Linked DNA regions of Mus musculus. The protein of the gene in region 2 interacts with the protein of the main gene of each other region in a pairwise test. Links are inferred from orthologs where the notes say so. Each region holds a gene or a part of one and is shown on either strand. Other genes may lie near its edges.

Region 1 (3,568 bases), on a different chromosome or scaffold from region 2:
TGTTAACATCCCCTTCTCATGAGTTAGCGAGAAGAAGCGATGGGAGCAGGAAAAGTGAGTCTGTCTTTTATATATACATATACATACATACATACATACATACATGTATATATATATATATATATATATATATATATATATATATATATATATATATATATATTATTGTGTGTGTGTGTACTTTTAGAGTTCAGGATACTACAAAGGTTCCACCAGGTCCTCTGCTGTCCAAATGCACTGTCACCTTGTTCCCTGAGTACAAGTTGCCAACGTGCTTCTGTTTGCCTCCTAAGAATGTCTTCGTGTGTTGGGGGTGGGGGGTGGGGTCCAGGTCTCAGCTCATTGCTTAGCACCTTTTTCAAGCGTTTGGAAAGAAAAGTAAACGTGCAGTGAACGTTCCTTCCCTTCACACTCAGATGGAGCGGATGGCGGGGAAAGTTGAGTGGCCTGTGTTGGACTCAGTGGGGACACCTGTGTAGGACTTATTGTCATATCACATTTGCTGTTAAAATAGCATCTATTGGCTGGAGAGTTATTCGGTGGATAGGGCACTGACCTTTCTTCCAAAGGACAGGGGTTCACTTCCCAGCATCCACATGGTACTCCTTGGCTGTCTGTAATTCCAAGATCTGACACCCTTAGACTGACAGACATGCAGGCAAAACACCAGTGCCTATATAAACAACTAAGTAGGTTAAAAAAAAATTGCAGAATTTGGAGGCAAGAGAGGCAGGCGCATTTCTAAGAGTTAGCATGTTAAGGCTGTGAGTTCCTGAGTGTCATCTCTTGCTTCCCCACCTCATGCTTGAGAATGAGGGTCTGGGCTTCCTCTGTACGTATGAGTTCTAGGATTTCCTTCCATTTGCTGCACTTTCTTTCTCCCCAGCATTATGAAAGGTGTGAATCCTTTCACTGTATGTCTGAGAATGTAGACTGAGCACAATCAAGGGAGAGATGGCCTGATGCTTCTGCTCGCTGTGGGTCTGGGGCTGCTGCCTCTATAGGCTGAGTCCCTGGGCACCAGACCCTCACTGTACCGCACTGGCCAGCACGTTCCTGTAGGCTTTCTTAGGCTATTGCAGGCAACAGGCCTGAAGATCCAGCTTTTATGCTCCCAAGGCCTTGTAAAGCCCCTGCCCATTAGATGTCTGGTGCCACAGGTTCTGGACTGTGCACAGTCTCGTCCCTATCCCACCTCAGGTCAAGCCAGGCACATCCAGAGTGGACACCGCTGTCCACCCAGCTGCTCCTACCCCGTGTCTAGGCTTGGTGTCCTGTCTGTCCGCAGCATTCTTGACCCCTGTGCTGGGTGAGAAGCACCTAGGCCTTAGGTACTGTCTGGCAGCCCCTCAGTGCTTTCTGGGGTGTGGTTGCCAGTGGGGGTGAGCGGGTACAGCCGTGTAAGGAGCTGAGATAACCCTGAGCAGACAACACGCCAGACATGCAAAGTAAGCTTTCCCTTTCTTGCTCATTTCCCTCTGACTTGTGTTTTATGGAAATTGGTGACACCTTTACCTGGTGCTAATCGGTGCTTTATGTGCCATGAGTTGCTGTCACTGTAGTTGGAAACAGATGCTGTGGCTTCAACCCCGGACCCCGTGTGCTTCTAGGTGATGGCCCAGACATTGCTATGATGTTGACCCTGGGCTCAGAAGGGTCTGAGACTCCCACCACTGACCTAGTCGCTGCTGCTGCTGCTGCTGTTCCTTTCTCTAGAAGGTTTGTCCAGTCACCAGGAGCAATGAAGGAGAAGGAGATCCATGCAAAGCAAATGAAGGTACTAATGTCCCAGAGAATTGGCAGCCCCAGTGACACAGAAAAACCTGTCCCTTCCGATGGTCAGCCTTAGCCCATTGGTGGGCTACACTCATCCTGGGCCATCACAGTATAGGAGTCCCACTGAAGGTCCTCCTCTTTGGTCCTATGCCAGTCCCCCAGGTGGTGGGCCTACTACTTTTGCTGTAGTGAAAACCCATGACCAAAAACCAAGCTGGGGAGGAAAGGGCTTATTCACCTTACATTTCCACATTGCTGGTCATCATTTAAGGAAGTCAGGGCAGGAACTCACACAGGGCAGGAACCTGGAGGCAGGAGCTGAGGCAGAGGCCATGGAGAAGTGCTGCTTACTGGCTTGCTCAGCCTGCTTTCACATAGATCAAAGGACCATCATGCAGGGAAGATACCACTTGTAGTGGGCTGAGTTCTCCCCCATTGACCCTGAATTGAGACAATGCTTTACAGCCTGATAAGAATTAAAACGGTAGACAGCACGTTATCCCTGAGTCAGGGAGGCATTTCCTCAACTGAGGCTCCTTCCTCTGATGACTGTAGACTGTGTCAAGTCGATACAAAACCAACCAATACAGTTAATCTTTGCTTTATTCTTTGTGCCTTAATTATATATGATACAAAACACTGAGGGAGAGGTCTTTAATGTTTTCTGTCTAAGCACAGCCTAATAGTAAAGTAAGTTTTAATTTTCAGTGAAAGAGCTGAGGTGGCAGTAGTTGGGTGTGTGGATGATGGTTTCAGGCTGGGATGCCTCCTGCTTCCTGATGTTTTTTTCCTTCTGTAGGCTTTGCTGCAGATGGTGTTTGATGAGAGCCACCAGATACTGGCCTTGTCAGAAAGCCAGGACCCCTCTAGTGCACTGAACAAAGGTGAACCACGTGACCCCCTGGATGGCTTCCCGAGAGACAGTCAGGCCCTTTCGGAGGTGACAACTGACAAAGGAGAGAAGGTAGGAGACTGCTGGCTCAGTACACGAGAAGGAACCATTTGACCTGCCCATAACATGGTCACACCACTGCGATGGCTTTGAACAGCCAGCCTGCTCCTGACCATAGCCCCAGGAAGCACAGAGTACCCAGCAGGGTAGCTCCATATAGCTTTGCGCCTTTGCAGCCCAGGGCTAGCTGGTGCAGCAGCAGCAGAAGGAGAGAAAGGTTGCCCATTCTATTTGTGGTTTTTCTGTTGCTGTGATCAAGCACCATGACCGAGGCAGCTCACAGAAGGAAGGGTTTGTTTCAGAGGAATAGAGTCCATCATGATGGAGAGCTGTGGCTGGTAGGAGCAGGGAGCTTAAAGTTCACATCTCAGCCATAAGCATGAAGCAGAGAAAACTGTAAGTGCCTAAAGCTTTGTACTCTCAGAGCCTGCCACTCAGTGATGTACCTTCTCAGAAGGCCAAACCACCTACACCTCCGCAAACAGAGCCACCAACTGGGAAGTATTCAAATGCCTTAGAGTGTGGGGGACACTTCTCATTCCAGCCACTACTTTTTTGCTCTTTTTCATCTCACTACTTCTGATACCAACAAATATTTTAAAAAAATAACGTTTGTTATGTAGCATGTGTGGAGGGATTACTGTAGCGTGAGTGGAGGTCAGTTGGTTTTCCCTCCTACGGCGTGTTTTCTGAACATTGAACTCAGGTCATCAGACTTGGACACAGGAGCCTTTGCCTGCTGAGCCACCTGGTTGGCCCCTGATATCATTATGTTTTTTAATTATTTTATGTGTATGAGTATTCTGTCTGCATTTATGTTTGTACATCACATGTGTGCCT
Region 2 (3,568 bases):
TTTTTCGAGACAGGGTTTCTCTGTATAGCCCTGGCTGTCCTGGAACTCACTTTGTAGACCAGGCTGGCCTCAAACTCAGAAATCCGCCTGCCTCTGCCTCCCGAGTGCTGGGATTAAAGGCCTGCGCCACCACGCCCGGCATAATGTTTATTTCTAATGTTAAAATTCTAATTTTACTGTTTTATGAAGTATAAATTTATTTTGTTTTAAATAGTAGAATAAATTCTATTGTCTTAGTAATTTTGATTTGTGACTTGCTGTCTTAGCCTTTTTATTAAAATGAAAAACACTGTGTTTTAGCCGGATGATCCTGCCCACTTCCAATCTCAGCACTTGGGCGGTAGAGTCAGGGAGACCTCCATAAGAGAGCTCCAGGCCATTCAGGGCTACCTAGTAAGACTTTGTCTTAAAATACAAAGAAAATTATGTACTGACTGTTCAAAGAATACAGCACCCAGTGTAATTGTAGATACTTTAGAAATGGAGTCCAGCGTGACAAAGTGAAAGGCATTTGATGGTCTTTGTTTTTATAACTGAAGCACACACACTCCTGGGGCCCCCGCGGGAGTGACTGAGATCTGTCACTGTGCTCTGTGAGGAGTGCACATGTGAGTGGGCTAGAGCTTCTGAGCGATTGCCACACTGTCTGTCTGTCCGTCCGTCTGTGCACGATGTTCTTTTCCTCAGGCTCAGTTCTTTTGGCTCCATCACCCTTTATTCCTTGATTGGTCAGCCACTGTGCATTAGCAGAACTTGAGTGTGCCCATGTCCCCAAATGTCCACATTTAGATGTCTGACGTCTGTCAGTTTTAACCTCATCAGTGATGGGTGAAAAGAGTTCATTTGCATTTCAATTATTTGACTGATGCCTTTTCAGATGTTTATATTTAATTTGTTGATATTTATATTTGAGTAAATTTATTTTTGTTACTATTGAGTTCTTTTTGAATGCTGATTGGATTGTCCCCTGTTCAGAAGTAGAAGCTGGACCTGCTGGCCAAGATAAGCCGGAGGTGATGGAGAATGCGGAAGTTCCCAGTGAGCTTCCCTCCAGCCTCAGGTGTGTCCTCCGCTGGGGTTTGGGAGTGTGGTCATGCCTAGGACAGTGTGGGGCTTCCTGCCATAGCATCCGCTGCCCAGTCAACACTTGTTCTGTGGCGTAAGGGATTATTTGTGCAAAGCAAGCGGAAACTACCTGTCTAGTTTTCTTGTACCTGAGTTGGAGCATTGTACAGTTTGGAGAAGTTCCTAGTAATGGGAAGGCCTGTGGTGCTCTGATGAATGGCAGCTGTGCCCATTGAATGGGGCTGGTGTTCCTCTGCAGAGAGTCTGAGTGTCATGCCGACCGTGGCATGGGAGTGAACACTAGTGCTGGCCTGCCTATTTGTCCTGTCCACATTGAGATTTGTGTGTGTTTCACAGTCTGTTTTTTTTCCTTCCAATATTTTTTTAGAAGAATACCTCGGCCTGGGAGTGCACGGCCAGCACCTCCCAGGGTCAAACGACAAGAGAGCACAGAGACACTGGTGGTAGACAGGTGAGGCTGCCTGGCCAGGGGGTTCTAGTCACAATGAAGCCACACTCCCCAGTGCTGGACTGTGGGATGCCAAGGTCTGGGCCTGTGCTGAAAGACTTGGTAGGGTGTAGTACTCAGTACTAGGAAAAAGAAAAACTTACCTTGAAGAAATAGAGGATTAGATCACTGCCTTAAACCACAGAGCAGCAAGCATTCCAGATTGGCAAAAGGGAGAAATACGTGTGTTCATGTATCAGATGCCTCAGAAAGCATGGGCCAGCACTGGCTGTGTTTCCCTGACCTCTAGATAGAAGACTGTCAAAGTGTAAAAAGGAAGAGAGCTGAAGGTGTAATTGTGCAAGAGTTAAACAACAGGTACTCCGAGCTGAAAACACGGCAGCGGTATTGGATAGAGGCGTGGCCCTGTGAAAGGGGTCGGTCCCAAGTCACGTGACCCACAGGGCCCACTTGTGCCACCCTTGGTCTATCTTAGAGTCAACGTCAGCAAACAGGGCAGAGCCAAAGGACTAGAAAGGCTGGGGTAGAGGGCTGGGGTGGCCTGGAGCTCTGGGCAACATGGAGGCTGTTGTGTGGGAGGTGATATTCTCCCTGTTCCCACTGTTCCCTGAGAGTTCCCTTCACCTGTCTGGGGCAATGGCAGTTCAGCTCCTTTCTGAGAACTGTGGTATTTCCAGATGCAAGGGGCTGACAACAACTGGTGGCTGATGGGTCGTCACTTCTAATGTAATGACTCTTGCTGCTTAGGTCGGGAAGTGGTAAAACCGTCTCCAGTGTGATCATCGACTCCCAGAACTCTGACAATGAGGATGACGAGCAGTTTGTGGTGGAGGCTGCCCCTCAGCTGTCAGAAATCGCAGACATTGACATGGTTAGTTTCCCCGAGGGCCCTGTTCTTAGGCACACGTTCAAAAGTGAGGACTTGGCTTTTCAGCTTATGTAGACACAGTTTCTCTAATTTTTCAGTGAGCTGTCTGGTTTCTTTGTGTTTTTGTTATTTATTTATTTTGAAGTAACAAGGCTTCCCTGATCTCTCTCCTTTCCGCTCAGGTGCCGTCAGGGGAGCTGGAGGATGAGGAGAAGCACGGTGAGTATGGACCGTGCTCTTGTCGGTGTGTGTGTGGGCTCTCTGTGTCCTCTGAAGATGCAAGTGGCCATCCTGTGCCACAGGGTCCTAGGAGGGACACTGTTGCTGCTGCCATGTGGGCCTGGGGGAGCCATAGAACCTGAGATCAGAGTGGACTCCAAGCATAGTGGCATCGTATCTTGTCTTTCCAAGAAACTGTGTCTATACATGCTTATATGCACACATGAACATGAGAATAGAATTTGTTATGTAGCCCAGGCTGTCCAAAACTCTCCATTTTCCTGCCTTAGCTTCCTCAACAATGGAATTCTAGGCATATGCCACATCCAACTCAGTTTTGGTTTTTATTCATGTAATTCTTCCTGTGGCTTTAAGGTTAACTGTCCATAGCCAGCTGCACTGAGAGGTGTACATTTGTTTTGTGGTTGTTGTTATTTGCGGCAGGGTACCATTGTGTGGCTCTGGCTGGCCCAGACTTCACTGTGGAGATCTCCTTTTGATCATTTTCTTGCTTCTGTCTTGTGAATGTTGGGACTATAAGTTTGCACCACCCCACCCAGTGCTGAGGTCTAAGACTTCTCCTTTGTTCTTTCTCCCTATATTCCTCTCCCTGATAGTGCAGGTGAAAATGTGACTGGGGGTGGGGGTGGGGGTGGGGTTGAGGGCTCATAAGAGAGGGCAGCTCATGATAGAATGTTGACTGACATTCTGACACTTCTCTCCATCCCCCTATTATCCACCGCTTCACTCCTCTTCCCGTAATGTTCCTAAGCCTTGGAGGGCGGATGAGGGGTGCGGTGTAGATGTCCCACTTGTGGCTGAGCTTGTGTTGACACTTTGGTTGTGAGTTTGCACATTAACCATCGTCTGTGCATACAGACATACAGACTTAGTGGGTAGTTTGATGCTATGTCCTTTTAGTAGAAAAGAAGTTTTCCTCTGGGGCT

Evidence for each region. The genes of interacting proteins can lie anywhere in the genome.
Region 1: the proteins of Traf3ip1 (region 2) and Pcnt interact in a two-hybrid assay, tested with the Homo sapiens proteins (2 studies listed by BioGRID and IntAct). The link is inferred for Mus musculus from reciprocal best matches to the Homo sapiens genes TRAF3IP1 and PCNT.

The regions. Positions count from the first base shown.
Region 1 is NC_000076.6:76,383,913-76,387,480, reverse strand, and holds part of Pcnt (pericentrin), read left to right. Parts: coding exon 1-54; intron 55-1,610; coding exon 1,611-1,777; intron 1,778-2,575; coding exon 2,576-2,740; intron 2,741-3,568. UniProt on the Homo sapiens protein: Integral component of the filamentous matrix of the centrosome involved in the initial establishment of organized microtubule arrays in both mitosis and meiosis. Plays a role, together with DISC1, in the microtubule network formation.
Region 2 is NC_000067.6:91,518,603-91,522,170, forward strand, and holds part of Traf3ip1 (TRAF3-interacting protein 1), read left to right. Parts: intron 1-975; coding exon 976-1,060; intron 1,061-1,453; coding exon 1,454-1,537; intron 1,538-2,281; coding exon 2,282-2,405; intron 2,406-2,584; coding exon 2,585-2,621; intron 2,622-3,568.